4 linked regions of the Saccharomyces cerevisiae S288C genome follow. The protein of the gene in region 4 purifies or fractionates together with the protein of the main gene of each other region. This does not show direct contact. Each region holds a gene or a part of one and is shown on either strand. Other genes may lie near its edges.

The links.
Region 1: the proteins of RSC9 (region 4) and RSC2 purify together in Saccharomyces cerevisiae (affinity purification with mass spectrometry; 13 studies listed by BioGRID, with this or other methods). This does not show direct contact.
Region 2: the proteins of RSC9 (region 4) and SFH1 purify together in Saccharomyces cerevisiae (affinity purification with mass spectrometry; 5 studies listed by BioGRID). This does not show direct contact.
Region 3: the proteins of RSC9 (region 4) and NPL6 purify together in Saccharomyces cerevisiae (affinity purification with mass spectrometry; 6 studies listed by BioGRID). This does not show direct contact.

Annotation. Positions count from the first base shown.
Region 1 is NC_001144.5:839,763-844,500, reverse strand, and holds RSC2 (Rsc2p), read right to left. Parts: upstream 3,171-4,738; coding exon 501-3,170; downstream 1-500. Other genes in the region: adenylosuccinase ADE13, read right to left, coding at 1-219; YLR358C (uncharacterized protein), read left to right, coding at 451-1,014; ATG33 (Atg33p), read right to left, coding at 3,587-4,180. UniProt on the Saccharomyces cerevisiae protein: Component of the chromatin structure remodeling complex (RSC), which is involved in transcription regulation and nucleosome positioning. RSC is responsible for the transfer of a histone octamer from a nucleosome core particle to naked DNA.
Region 2 is NC_001144.5:776,049-779,506, forward strand, and holds SFH1 (Sfh1p), read right to left. Parts: upstream 1,817-3,458; coding exon 536-1,816; downstream 1-535. Other genes in the region: MMS22 (Mms22p), read left to right, coding at 1-256; U2-type spliceosomal complex subunit CWC24, read right to left, coding at 2,125-2,904; PEX30 (peroxisome biogenesis protein), read left to right, coding at 3,167-3,458. UniProt on the Saccharomyces cerevisiae protein: Component of the chromatin structure-remodeling complex (RSC), which is involved in transcription regulation and nucleosome positioning. RSC is responsible for the transfer of a histone octamer from a nucleosome core particle to naked DNA.
Region 3 is NC_001145.3:449,497-453,048, forward strand, and holds NPL6 (Npl6p), read right to left. Parts: upstream 1,870-3,552; coding exon 562-1,869; downstream 1-561. Other genes in the region: YMR090W (uncharacterized protein), read left to right, coding at 1-432; AIP1 (Aip1p), read right to left, coding at 2,136-3,552. UniProt on the Saccharomyces cerevisiae protein: Component of the chromatin structure remodeling complex (RSC), which is involved in transcription regulation and nucleosome positioning. RSC is responsible for the transfer of a histone octamer from a nucleosome core particle to naked DNA.
Region 4 is NC_001145.3:15,457-19,376, reverse strand, and holds RSC9 (Rsc9p), read right to left. Parts: upstream 2,314-3,920; coding exon 568-2,313; downstream 1-567. Other genes in the region: ERG13 (hydroxymethylglutaryl-CoA synthase), read left to right, coding at 1-317; double-strand break repair enhancer MSC1, read left to right, coding at 2,701-3,920.

The sequences.
Region 1 (4,738 bases), on a different chromosome or scaffold from region 4:
TTTTGCGATTTCATCATCAGTGATTTCGACGTGTTTGCGCATTTGCTCAATTGCTTCATCTGTAACAACAGTTAAGCCCAATTCCTTCTCAGCAATAGCCAAATTTAACCATAGTTTTCTCCATGTGGAAAATCTGTTTCTCAAAGAAAACGTTGCTGACATTTCCTTGGAGGCATATCTAGAAGACAATGGCGTAGTGTAATTGTCATAGTCAGGCATCTTTTATATAATTCGGATAGTTTATTTCACTTTAGTTGTAGCAACTTACTGGAAAAGCTTTGGTCCTTGGGGAAGAAATTTTGAGAGGTTGGTGATGAAGTATAATTGTTTTATATGGCTACTATTAATACAACGATAATATATCTATAGATGACTTTCTTCTATATAATAACTTCTGTTTTATTTCATTTTCCTGCTTTGTTTGAAGTTTGACTCTGCTCGCGGAGGGTAATGCGCAATGGGAAGATATTATGCTGCCATTGCTTTTACAATAAAGGTGATCATGAAGACGACGAAGGAGGCCGCAGCATAGAGAGTCTGTGCGCCGTGAACTTAGCCGAGGGTCTTAATCCAAGGACAAATGGGCCTGGCAAGGACTCTTTCTCATTTTCAACATCCGGTTCTAAGCCATCATCATCTTTGTCCTTTCCAGTCACATCTTCCATGGTTTCTTCAACTTCTTCGTATTCTAGTTTTCTTTTCTTGTTAGTGGTAAACCACCTATTCAGTGGCAGGCTTAGGTGTGGGTCACCTGAATTTATTATTCGTTCATTTACTATCACACTAGGTCCTCTGAACCATAATATTTCACCCTTTGTTTTTTTCCATGGAAACATCTCTTCTCTTCCAGATCTCTTGGTTTGGCTGTGCAGATCAGTACGCTGCAAAACATCTACGTTTTTGGTTATAGAGATAGGTAAGACAAACGAGGAGGCTGCATCGATCATTATATTACCCAAATTACCTCTTGATGCCTGCGATGTTAAATCATCGATTATTGTTGGGATATTATAACGTGATGCTTGGGATCTTTTCTGTTGTTGGTATTGATGTTGCTGCTGTTGTAACCTTTGCAATTGGTGTTGCTTTAAACCTTGTACAGTAAGCGGGCCTCCCGCGCCAGGGGAACCAACTCTTGACAGTGGTATTTGTTGCTGGCCAATAGCATTTTGGTTTTCTAAAGACATAGATGACCTGTTATATCTTAAACTGGATAGTTTACTACTTGAGTATCCTGTTTTAGGAAGAGCATTTGCTGTTGGCGTGTTTGTGGTGATCGTACCTGTTTCTATATCCACTTGTCCCTCTTCGGGAGAATCGTTGGGTCTGATAATATACCTGGGACAGTCATCAGAGGTTGCATATTCCCCCAAATCGTCACGCTGCATTTTAGGTCTCATATAAACGGCACCGACCAATGGTGGCGCGTCCGGGGATCCCATCGTTGGTTCAGGAACGCGATCATGCGGCGTTGCATTAGCTGGTAGTAGATGTCTTATGGGGGAAGGATATTTGAAGAACTTTCTACCATTTACCGGAATGGTAGCTTCGTCCAAATCACGAATTTCCTCTGGTAAGCAAGCCTTCCAGGTTCTAATCTTGTTAAAAATTTTATCGGATTCATTATAACGGAATTCGCAAACGAACAAGGGACCCTCCAATTTCATATCGGGATTACCACGTTGATATCTAGTAAAGTGAATCACATAGCATTTCCCAACTAAGTTTGACACTAAATGATCACGGTACTGACCTGTTTTCATAACTTCGTTTTTGTAAAACAATCTATCCACTCTATGCACAGTTTGTTCGGGTCTGTAATACCAACAAGCGTTTAACCATTGTTTCCCATCTGGTGTCTTCCATAGCCTGAATATTTGGCCCACTATAGGTTTTTGAGGATCATTTTGATTTCGAAGAAGTGCCCAATCTCCCACGTGGTATGATATATTATTTACAATGACTTCATCTAGAGGGTATCTTAGCTCGCCTTCTGGAATGAAACTTCTATCAGGTTTGGATAGTTCGAATCTTGCCAGACTAGTAAAGGTCTTTTCTAAGATATTTGAAATTTTTATGCTTTCAGGATCACCTCTGTGCGAAATTCTAAAGTTGGTTAACATAAGATTAAAATCATTCTGGAACTCCTGGAACGTTTTATAACGACGAGTCTTTACCTTTTTATTTATGTCTTGAAGACTAATTGGATTAGCAATCATGATGTAGTAATTTGCATCTCTGTGTCTATCGGGCAATCTTTCAAAAAGATCAGTTAGACCAATTCCACTATCTAGCACCTCTTTTTTTAGTACTTTCATAACATTTTTCATTCTTTGAATATACGGTAAGTCGATGATTGGGGGTCTCCCACGCTTTACCTGAGTTCTGGATACCTGTCTATGCCTTGGGCCTAACGGCTGAGGGGTGCCTGAGTGAGATGGAGTAGTGGACCTGTTGTCTCTTAATGGTTTCCGAGTATATGGATTAATATTTATTAGTGGCTTTCTTATCAAATCAGGAAAATCAGCATCCTTAGGGTTATCGATATCCATATCCGTCGCCTCATAGTCCTCATCATTATTTGTATCGGTTCCTGGTTCTGATTCTCTTTTGACGGAAGTACGAGTCTTTCTTAATCTTCTGGCTGCTTCTGTTGAATTCATTGAAGAGCTCGACTCGGCTCTGGCTGCATTAGCTCTCGCTACTTCCTCAGCTTTTTCTCTTAATTTCTGTTGAAACTCTTCATAACCTGGTTCATCGGGTAGAGGACCCAAATCAGGATACACTAATTGAGGATATTTTTCTTTTAAATTTGGATAGATTGTGTCCTTTAAATATTTCTCAAGGACTAAGGCGTATTTATAAATTCCTGAATCTCTTGTATTGTAAGTCTTGGCATTCCATGGAATCTGGACAACATCGTTCATAAACTGTTGAGCATCTGTATAATGTGGAATACGCTTTTTTAAAGTATTGAAAGATACAGGGTTCTTGATCACTGCGTAGTAGTCAGGATAATCCTTTTTAGGTGGAAGGACATTGAATATTGGTGAAATCTCTAACCCAGAATCTTCCTTTAAAGTGAAAAGAGATTCATATTCTTTCCTCAGGTCCTTGTATAATGCGCTTGAGTTTTGAGTGGACGAGTTTGAATTGTCATCAGGCATCATGCACTGTCAATGTAGAATATTCTCCGCTTCGTCTGGTTCTGCGCGACGTGCTGTATATTTGATCACGTATTGAACTGTTACCAATACTTTTTTCAGCTGTGTTGTTTTCTCTATTTTCTCACTTTAACATGCGAATTTTCGCACGACTCTCGGCCGGGTGAGAAAAGTCAGTGACAGTAATAAACCAAGTGCAAGAGCACCTACAAATGTGCTTATTACAGTGTATTATTATGTATATATGTGCATACGTGTGTGTATGCACAATTTTTGAACATACTGTCTTTTGAACGTTTGAAAACTCGTAGGAATATATAAAAAAACTGCAAATTACTACACACTTTATTTTTGGAGAGAGAGAGGAGCCGAGTTCAGGCAGCTACAAATTCTTGTAGAGATAAATACGTGAACGAGAAACACTAGATAAATTGTCCTTCCCCATAAACGCCAATAACGGCTTGTACAAAGCCAACAATAGCAATAGCAGTTGCTGCAATTAGATTTTTAGTATGGATTGGGGGACCGGTGTGCAATGCCTCTGCCGGCTTTGATACTGTGGTTGCTGCAGGCTTCCCGTCTCGAGGTGTATTTTCTGAAGCATGGTTGTCTTCACCTAAATCAATAATAGAATCGCTCAGTTCGGAAGCAGCGAGTTTGCTGTCTTCGGGAAATAAAGAAGATTCCTTAGAGACTTTACTGTACTTTCTAGACTGATAGTTGGAGGCACATCCTAGAACAAATGAAGATAATGGAGCTACAAGCATACCATAGAGTAAGTAGGGGTGTCTCAATGAGGGAGGAGCGCCGAAAAAGCTCACACAAAAGAAAGTTGACGCAAACGCTCCCAAGGCGGTGGCCGCATTTTTCAAAGTGGTTAAAGTGGGAGTAAGGGATCCTGTTAAAACCTCTAGTGGAGTAGTAGATGTAATCAATGAAGCGGAAGCCAAAAGACCAGAGTAGAGGCCTATAGAAGAAACTGCGATACCTTTTGTGATGGCTAAACAAACAGACATCTTTTTATATGTTTTTACTTCTGTATATCGTGAAGTAGTAAGTGATAAGCGAATTTGGCTAAGAACGTTGTAAGTGAACAAGGGACCTCTTTTGCCTTTCAAAAAAGGATTAAATGGAGTTAATCATTGAGATTTAGTTTTCGTTAGATTCTGTATCCCTAAATAACTCCCTTACCCGACGGGAAGGCACAAAAGACTTGAATAATAGCAAACGGCCAGTAGCCAAGACCAAATAATACTAGAGTTAACTGATGGTCTTAAACAGGCATTACGTGGTGAACTCCAAGACCAATATACAAAATATCGATAAGTTATTCTTGCCCACCAATTTAAGGAGCCTACATCAGGACAGTAGTACCATTCCTCAGAGAAGAGGTATACATAACAAGAAAATCGCGTGAACACCTTATATAACTTAGCCCGTTATTGAGCTAAAAAACCTTGCAAAATTTCCTATGAATAAGAATACTTCAGACGTGATAAAAATTTACTTTCTAACTCTTCTCACGCTGCCCCTATCTGTTCTTCCGCTCTACCGTGAGAAATAAAGCATCGAGT
Region 2 (3,458 bases), on a different chromosome or scaffold from region 4:
CACCTTTAATAGTAATAGTGATTTGATCGCCGCAAAAGATGCGTTTTTGGTATCTGTGTTGAGAATCGCAGATGGGTTTTGGGAGCATGACAAACTTTTGCAGCTAAGGATGCTTGATAGTAATATGAACATACCTAATCAGATTCCTCATACTACTTTGCAAAGTTCGCTATCTGCGATTGTAATAAAGATAATAGAAAGTAATATAGGAAAAATTGAGGCGTCTGAACCTTTCAAAACCTTCAAGAATACGTAAATTATACACATGTAATATAAGCATATTTAAAAATTCTCCGTAATATATGTCATATATGTCAAATTGCGAATTAGTCCAAATAGAAACAAGATCTATCAGTGTTGGTGATAAACATTTTGTATTCTTTTGGTAACGTGTATCTCAAAGAAGTGCATGACTTTTTTTACGTTCTCTTTAGTCTTGATTTAGTTGCTTCTGCGTTTGTTAAATTTTTTGTCCTTCCCGTTTGATTAATAATACTTATAATAATACAATTCTGTAACAAGAAAAGCAAAGTTACTACATTCTCATTGTGGTTTCTAAGTCATCTAATCTTCTCCTGCCCCTTCTAGATAATCTATCAGTTTCTCTTTTCAATCTTCTTAAGTTTCTTTCTTTTTCAATTTCTCTCTTTTGTATTTCTTCTTTTGTTAATATTTCCACCCTTGGGCACCAATTGGAGCCCAGTTCATCAATATCCAGCCTTATACCAGATAAGTACCCAAATGCGGCATCGTTTGGGACATGGTCCTGAATCAAGTGGCCATCTACCCAGTCCTTCTTTATCTTCAAGATAGTTTCATGAAGCGATTGAGATATTAAGGGGATGAACTCTCTTGTTAAGCCAAGGTCCTGTACAATGGATGTAGCAAATCTTTCTGGAGTAAGTGATTTGTCGTTCAAGTTCCACTGGAAGTTATCTTCAAAAAATCTGTCTTGTAAGTTGCAGGTTAGGTTGATTATCACGTGGAGGTCAGACATTATCTCAGTGGCTGCAATATTTTCGAGGTCTTTCAACTGCTCTTTTATTATATTCGCAATTTGAGTTTGTAAGGTAGCGGAAGTCATATCAAGATCTTTACAGTATATAGAGGCAAATTCCTCCGGAGATATGGAGTCGTCATTGTAGTTCCAGAGAAACTGGTCTTTTATGGTATGACCCATATGTTCTATATCCAAAGTAATTGGTATCATGATTGCCTCTCCAGAATTGGCGTTTGCCTTCGTTTCTTGATCAGTGTTGAGTCTATATGGAGACACCACTTTTCCGTTAATGAAAGTATCTCTTATTTTAGGGTATCTCAATATGTTGAAGGGGTTGTGGTGTTGGTCTTGCAGATCCGGTAGAACGGCGTTTCCAATATCCTGTGCCTGCGCTTTGTTGCTCGGACCATTGCTGGCGTTGTTATTGCTATTCAAACCGGATAAAGATTCCACAACCATGTTTGAACCCGCATCGTATTTGTTGTTAGAGATAATACTATCAGCTCCATTCATGTTCTCTAGGACATTGTATTCGGAACCGTCCATGGTAACACCATTTGTAAGTGCCGGAGTATTTTCATGAGACACTGCATTATCTTTATAGTGTGTATCAGCATTGTTGAAATTAGAACCGTTCATATTGAATTCATCAAAGAGATCGTTGTCATATTCCGCATAGTTGACCACTTTAGCCCTTTTATGCTGCCTTGTTTGTTGAGCCATTGTAAAGATGGGGATACCATCATCTTCGTTTGTCAATCTGTTATGAAAGTTAGAAATATAAGCTTGTGGAATAAGCTGGTTTTGGTGCGACATTGTGTGCTGCTATGTGCCTTTCTTCTTTCTTTTTTCAATGTACTTCATTCAATAATCTCTATTTGTCGTATTTTCTAAGTTTTTTTTTTTTGTCAAAGTAGTCGCGGCGACTTTAAATGAGCAGATCATCATTTAGTAGACAAAAAGACACGGGACATCTTCTATCTATATAGTTTACATACTTTATTATGTGAAAGAGTCTTTCGAAATTGCAACAATGCTCGATAAATCTATGGGTCATGTGCTCTATAATTCCTGTACATTAGCATCGGGTGCGTGTAATTTTTGGGGTGATATGGCATTCTCCATCAACTTTTCCTTTTATTTAGCATCTTCTGTAAGTCAGATGCTACTTTTGCACTGCCGTGGGTCTCCTTGTGGCATATAAAGCATTTGGTGCCCTTTTTCATATCTTTGGCAAAACACGATCCACAAAAATAATGGCCACAGTTTGTGACCACTGGAGACTTGTAATCTTCCTTACAAAGAGTGCACTTGAACGGTATCTTTTCCAAGTCTAGAGTAACCGCTTTGGAGTCCTCTTTATCCGCATTCCATTCTTGGTTCAGCTTCCAGCCAGTCTTGAAATCATCCCTCGAGTGTAAGAACTTGCAGCTATCTCCGTAACCACAGTATCCCGTCTGTTTGTAATCTTTGCAAACGTCGGGCTGAAAATCCATCAGCACCGTGGTCCGGATATTCGTTGGTTGGTTAATCTGTTTAGTGAGGCGTTTATTTTTACCGCTCATGTTCAGTACCAGCTCATTGTCATCACTAGGTCGCCTCTTCTTTGCCTTCTCAGCCAGCTCTTTTCTCTCAAAGTTTAGAAGATCTTCTTTAGTGCTGTCGTCGTTGACCGTTAAAGTGTATTTATCTAAATCCTCACCCTTTTTCTGTAGTTTACCTTCATTCTCATGTGAAAGTTGAAGTGTCCTGCTATTTCCACTCTTGGCTAAGCTCATGAGGTCACTGGAACCCTTTTCTTCATCGCTGGCCACTAGTTTCTCTTCGCTAAAATTAATTTTCTGCCTCTTTTTCTGGTTCTTTTCATCAGAAGAGCTTTTGTTCACTAATCTCTTTCTGAACATGAATACCTGGAGCTTTGATTAAGTGATGGAGCTTTCGATGGCTTTAGCTTGAGTCCACTTCAGATAGAGATGCGCATGGCTTTTTCTTATTATTCTCCGGTTGCACGGAAAGAAGCGGGAAGAGGACTAAAGGGTTTTTGGATCAGCTTCACAAAATATATACTTGGATACGTTCGCTACTGAGGTAAAGTGGGCATGCAAGGTTGCAATTTAGGATTCGAGCTGTCTAGTTGATCCTCCGGAGTGTAAAAACTGATTTTCAATGAGTGGTAACACAACTAACGTGCATGAGACTAGAGCCAAGTTTGCAGAGACGCTGCAACCGAGGATTGGTGGCAATACTACAAAAGTGATACGAGCTGCTTTGGAAAAGAACGAAGCTGAAAGCGGGGTGTCTGAGGATAATGATAACGGGTCATTGGAGAAAGTTAACGTAGCTACTTCGCCGCTTTTGACATCAACACCGCCCACAATCTCAAAGGCGTTGGTGAAATTGTACCCTTATTTAATTCTCATTGACGAATTCCTAAACGTTGTTACATGGACAGGAAAGA
Region 3 (3,552 bases), 430 kb from region 4:
AAAGGAATGGAAAGAATTTTCACGGTTGATCTGGATGGCTGTATCAAAGTTGTTGAAGCATGCGAAAAGGCTGGTATCAAAAGGTTCGTTGTTGTTTCAGCGCTCAAGGCGGAGGATAGAGATTTTTGGTATAACATTAAGGGTTTGCGTGAATACTATATTGCAAAGAGATCTGCTGATCGTGAGGTTAGAAACTCTAATTTGGATTACACTATTTTACAGCCTGGATCGTTGGAACTAAATAAAGGTACCGGTCTTTTGCAACCCCTTGACAAATTAGAAGAGAAGGCTTCTGTTAACTACTCCATTAACAGGGAGGATGTAGCTTCTTTTATTGTGGAAAGCTTGCTACATCCAAATGCAACAGTGAAAAAAACCATTTCGTTGGTAAATGGCAACGAGCCAATGGAAAAATTCATTCAAAGTTTGTAGATCAACCTATTTACGCGTGAAATGCATATGTAGATGAATAGTCAAGAAAAGAAAAAGAAAGTGAGAATATATGAATTTTTTTACCTTGATTTGAAGATAAAAATTTGTTATATTGTTACATTGAGTATACTAAATATATTCGTTGCATTTTTCGAAATTTTGTTGTTCGGTGATAGCCCTTAAAACGTCTTCATCAACAACGTCTTCATAGATCTCTTTCGGGATTTCCGACAGTCCCGTTTTCGGTTTATTCAAATCGTTATCGTGTATAACGGTCTCATACACAATGCTTGTGTCGCTGGGACTATCGTTTTTTGATCTCCTCCATCCTAAAACAGTGGTTGACTGTGTGGATTCTGGTATGTGTAATATATTTGTGTATGCATCTCTCAAGCCTTGTTGATCTACAAGAAGAACCTTCACTCTATCATAAAACAAATCGCTATTAAATCTACTACACGCAGCAGAATGCTGATAGAGCCAATTTGTAGAGCTCAGCTTACTACCTGATGCAATAATATTAGAATTACTCATGTGACCATGTGGCCTGTGTTCAAAGAATTCCACCTGGTTTTTTGCAGGGTTTATGCCATTCTCGGAAGCAGGATACATCATGGTTTCTAAGGCCCTTGCGGATTTATCAATAGGATCACCAGCAAGTTTTCCTTCAATTACATTTCCCTTTGTTCTTAATTCAGAAGCATAATAATCATCGGTTATATGTTTGCCGCCACGAATGATTTTAGCACCAAATTCTTTAAACACGCCTCTAGCGGTGACTAGAGCGATTTGTCTATTTCTATATGAATAAGGTAAAACGCCACGGTCTATCAAGTCGTTCTTTTGAGTTTGATTCAGAATGAACTTATAAAGGTTGGGGTGAGTTTGAAAAAATAAATATGAATCTCTAAAACCCACTATCCTAGCCGGTTCGGTGGCCAGCATAAACTTTCGATTCCCCTTCTCAGTTAATGTGAAGGTGCGCACTAAAAATTCTCTGCCTCCTAATAGATCACCATCTGCAGTTATCTTCGTCTCACCTTCAGGATCATCTGGTAGAACATATTCTTCATTGACCACTTTCAAAGGATTTAAGTTCTCCTCAGCATCATCGATTCCGGGAAATACTGGTTTTTTGAACTTTGAACGGTTTCTAGATCTAGTAACGCCTTTATCCTCTGACAAATCCTCTTCTTCGTCCACGTGCCTCCTTTTGTTTCTTCCGCTTTTATTTATCTGTTCCTCCTCATCACTTATTTCTTCTTCATTCACTCCCTCATTGGCTTCTTCTTCTCTGTAATCATCATCTTCATTCTCATCATTTTCATCAATATCTAAATCCTCAGTATCAATTGCATAATTGGGTCTGTTGCTAGTAGATCTTGACCGCTTCTCATGTTCAACTTCGGAAGCTAGACCTCCCTCTGAATCTGACATTTCTGCTAGATGGTATTTCCTTCTTCAAAAGTAAATGTACTGTATTCAGTAATGCTTAAACTTTATAAAGCTGTTTTCTTGCAATATTTTTGTCTGCTCACAGTAACATGTTTAATAGTTCGAACGGGTTTTTTTTTAAAAGAGCGAAGTAATCAAAGCATTCGGGTAATAATTACAAGTTTATATGGACTGTGGTAAAAACAGTGTAAAACTTTTTTATATCTATTTTTCTAAGGTTACGTAATTGTTTACTTTATATTCTTATCTCACTCGAGGACAACATTCCACCTTTTAATGCAAGCGTCCGCACCAGAACTAACCAAGGTAGATGGTGTTTCCCATAAAAGGTTGTTAACACCGTCCTTGTGAGCATTCAACGCCTTAATGATTTTCATAGGTCTTTTGACGGAGTAAATAAAAATATTGGTGTCTAAAGAACCAGTGGCAACTAAGTCCTCTTCAATTTCCTCTTCGTTTGCTCCCTTTTCAGCAGGTTTCCATGAAATGGCGTTGATTTTACTGGTGTGGAAAGCCCATCTTGAAGTTTTCACTTCTCTTGATTGTAAATCATATAGCAATATCTTGCCCATAACATCTCCAGCAGCGATGTATGTTTCAGATGGCGAAATTGATATGTACGAGGGTTTTGCGCGAAGAGGTGTTTTTAAATCAAAACTGACTTCCAAATCTGATAATTTGAATACCTGAATAGTATTACCTTCTTCCAAACCAACTGCAACGTAATTTTGGCTCAAGCTAACGGCAGAGCCTGGTGAGTTCAGTCTTACACTCTTGATTATATCGCCCGTAAAAGACTGTAATATCAACAAATCATCATCATTTGTTAGTACTGCAGTGAAGCCATCATTGTTCGCACTAGCAACCTTTGGTTGCGATCCAAATTCATGCTTAGTAATACCGTTCACTTTCAAAGTATCATCCCAAGAAATACTGGAGTATTCTTGCGCTTTACTATTATCCAATGATACAATCAAGTTGGAGTGATCTTGGTGCATGGAAGAGCTAGACCATTCCATAATCCTACCATCATATGACCCACTGATTAGTGGGTTGACTGTCAAAGCAGTAATACCCTTGTTATGACCACTAATGGTTTTTAAAACCTCGTCATGTCCAAGTTCATAGAAGTTTAAGGTCCCATCCAGTGAAAGAGAAATAATCCTTCCGTTTCCTGTTGCAACAACACCAACTTGTTGATTTCCCAGTTGTTGCTTGTCTAAGGTCCATTTTTGAACGCATTTTGAAGTCGTGACGTCCCAAACCCTAATGGTAGCGTCTGCTCCTACGGTAGCAAACTTTTGGGAATCAAGCCACGATAGTGCAAATATACCACCTTGAACTGGTTCTTGATCATCCTCTATGTATTTAAGAAACTCACCTGATTTGCCATCAAAGCAAGAAATCTTTCTGTCAGACCCTACCGTAATAACAAATTCACCGCTGTCAGGTGAAAATTCAACATCCCTGACAAATGAGCCTTGTTTGTGGTGTGTTCTGTCACTGGCAGAGAACTTAAATGGAGGTCCTTGATAAAAGACAACAGATCCATCATCTCCAACTGTCATAGATCTCATAGGTCTAGATTGCTTCAAATGACAAGCATTGATGCGTTGTGAGTGACCTGAAACTTCACCTAAGGAATTACCAGAATCCCAGGATATG
Region 4 (3,920 bases):
ATGTTGGATCTGACGACTTACAAGGCAAGCGTGTTGGTTTATTTTCTTACGGTTCCGGTTTAGCTGCATCTCTATATTCTTGCAAAATTGTTGGTGACGTCCAACATATTATCAAGGAATTAGATATTACTAACAAATTAGCCAAGAGAATCACCGAAACTCCAAAGGATTACGAAGCTGCCATCGAATTGAGAGAAAATGCCCATTTGAAGAAGAACTTCAAACCTCAAGGTTCCATTGAGCATTTGCAAAGTGGTGTTTACTACTTGACCAACATCGATGACAAATTTAGAAGATCTTACGATGTTAAAAAATAATCTTCCCCCATCGATTGCATCTTGCTGAACCCCCTTCATAAATGCTTTATTTTTTTGGCAGCCTGCTTTTTTTAGCTCTCATTTAATAGAGTAGTTTTTTAATCTATATACTAGGAAAACTCTTTATTTAATAACAATGATATATATATATATTTTTTTTATAAAGAATTGTATATCTATATTTATAACACAATAAATCTAATCTCAACTTTTTTCTTTAAAGTTAAGCCCAACCGATTTTTTTTCTCATTCATAACCCCGACGTGTTTTCCATGTATTCAGACAATGCTAATGTTAAAGGTGGAATATCAGCCAATTTATGTAGAACCAGTGGCCTGATGCGTTGACAAAATGCGGAACCAGCACCATCATCCGTGTCGTTGGATAAAAGGCACAAAAACGTACAGGCCACTTTAGAAACATCTGAGAGTTCTTGAGGGAATTTGACCTCTGGTATGCTGTTTTGTCTTGCAGGTGTAATTTCCTTAGAGTCATTCAAAAATTTGGATTTTAGTGCCGAAATGGGTACCTGGGATTCTCTTTCCCCGTCTGCAATACCCAAAGCTTTAAATCTTGGTTGAATGCCCTTGATAACAAACCTTTTCTTGCCGGTTACCGGGTCAGTGATTACGATAGCAGCGGCGTTATTGAAAGCATTCGAGACATTCTTGATGAATTCCACGGCAGGTAACAATTTGCGTCCGGATTCGCGAACAGGCTGACCAAATTTGGATTCGTAGGATCTCCAAAGCGATATTTGTGTAAATTCTGCTTCTTGTACAGGCTCAAAGCAACATCTCAACCAAGCGGTTGACCTCAAGGGCTCGTTAAGTTTGAAAAGTTGTTGAAACAGATCCTCAGATAAATTGGGAGGCTCCTTTGGAGCGGGAGGCTTCAACCTTTTAATCAACCTAATTTTGTGCTTTTGCAAAAGATGGTAATCTGGTGTGGCGATATTATATGATAATAAATTAGGCAGCGTGGCTTCCAGTATCAAAGAGCACTCCTTACTCTTGAATAACTCAGTGATTCTTTGAGAACCGGGCAAAATGTATTGATAGAGGAAATCCAACGAAGCAATAATCAGCTCACTATCGCATTCTAACAGTAAAAAGGAAACGATCAACGAAAGAGTCTTATGGTCCAAATTGTCCGCTGCACTTTCCTCGTTAGCTTTGGACCTAACCAGTAATCTTGAAAGAGACCTCAATATAGAAATAACCATGTATCTGTCCTTAGTGTAGTTCAAGATGGACACCAGCGTTTGGAAATAATGATCATCCTTCATTGCAGGAGCAATATAGGACGAAATGGCCTCCATCAAGTCCAGAGTATAATGGGTCAACTCGTTAAAAAAAGTTGCATTTCCTTCGTACAATTGCCACTTGTTATCGCCTGTAGCGACGCACTGAAACTTCTTCAAAATGAAAAGAATGAAAGATTTGATTTCTCGATCCTTGACTAGTATCTGCACCGAATCAGTATCTTGAGCCAGATTCCTTAGGATCAGCAAGGCATTTAGACCCATTTGTAGAGAATCCATCGCCTTTGAATCACATATAGACGATTTGTTAAGACCTTCCACGATGCGCTCCAAAGGCAATATGAAAGTCTTGAAAAGTGGCAACAGGTCCGGCAATGTCCGTAAGCTGATCATATATGGCGCCTTGTTACTATACGTAAGATATTTTTTTAAAGACCACTTAATCTCCTCCGGTATCCCACTCAGTAACGCCATCTCCATCCTCGTCAAATCGTCTACACCTCTGGCCGTTTCCTTGGGTAGCGACTGGAACACATTAAAATTGGCCAGCGAATAGTGGATGGACTTAGTATTGGCTGCAGGTCCCGTCAGAACTCCATTAGACTGTAATCGAGACACTTTAATAGGGTTAGCCACCATTGTCTCGAACATGTTCACAGGCTCGGAGCTTGTGGCGGGTGCCTCGCTTACTGGAGTACCATTTAGCGGTGTGTTTGAAGCTAACGAGTTCATCTTCAATCTTTATTTCCACTTCTTTACAAGCTTTCTGCCTTTCTCTATGACGTCTTTCCCAAAACACTACCTCTTGACACGACTTGTTGTTTTCGTTTTTCTCTAAGAATATCACTATTTTCACTTTTTTCACCTTTTCCACCATTACGTCGGTAAGCAACAGCATTACGCCGGCCTCACCTTAGAGGGGAAGAATAAGGGATCTTTGGAACTGAAGGAAAATAAGGGAGAGGGAGGAAACAAGGAGGCGGTGAAAGGGGATCGACAGGGTATTTAAAGCCACTCATGGAGTCGTATTCCTAGCATGATTAGATTACCGGAGTTTAGAAGAGGATCTGCAATAGAAGAGGAGACAACTACAAAAGAACTGTTAATTAAGAGAAGAAGATGAAGCAATTCAAGTTGGTTAATGCGGTTTCCGCATCATTTGTGCTTATTGGCTTAGTGTTGGCCAATTCAGATTCAGTGTTCGACAAGTGGACGCAGGAAGACCTGGCCGATTATTTACGTGATAATAAGAAGAGCTTGGAAAAGTACGCTACAGACTCCATTGAGGACTTGAAAACGGAGGCATCGCAGGTATGGGACAAACACGCGCAGCCCAAACCATGGTGGCAGGTGTGGTCTAGTGACAGCAGTAGCGTGAGCAACAGTAACCCCGGATGGTTTGGTTATACTGGTTCTTCGGATCACCCAGTTTCTGACTGGCTCTTTGACACCTGGTCCACAGACAGTCTACGTAACTTCTTGAAGAAAAACGGCGTGGATGTTGACGACGCTAAGGCTTCCAAGGACTCGCTGGTGAAGACTGCTAAGGAGAACTTCAACAAGATTTCCAAATCTTTGAAGTCGTCGGGATACTATCCTTCTAGCTCTTACTTTGATAGCTGGTCAACCAAAGATTTGCAAAACTGGTTGAATGACAATGGTATCGACTACGACAAGGCAGTTCAAAGCAAGGACGAGCTAGTTCAGAAAGTCAAGGAAAACATCTACCGAACTTCAGAAAAGGCAGAACAGCAGCGTCTGGGTTTGCTAGAAAGCTTGGATTTGGCTCACCAACAAATATTAGACACATCGGGACAAATAAAAGACACTGTATTTGACAAGTGGTCTAGTGATCAGTTAACCAATTGGTTGGAGAGCCACAAGGTCAATATTGACAAGAACATGGCCAAGAAACACGACTATTTGGTTAGAATGGCCAAAGAAAATTCTGCCAATTTGAAAGATGATATCTACTGGTACCTGGACTATATGAAAAGAGAGTCTTCTCCATTTTTGACCAAGACCCCAGAATACGTTGGTTCCGTTTGGGACTCTTCTAAAAATTTCCTCACAAATTTGTACTCCAAGTTCAGAGGTAAGACTGACAATGTGATCAATGATACTTTTTTGGTTGGCCTAGACTCTTGGCCAAAGGACAAATTGAAAATGTTTTTAGATGCTCGTGGTATTAAGTACTCAATGCTGTCTACTGAACATCAATTGAGAGAATTAGTCAAAAAATCCAGAAACGAAAAACTCAAGATCCTGCCAAAAGACTACCAAAAATACTTTGACAACAGTAACTGGTCTTTGGATGACATAAAGGGTTGGTTTGCTGA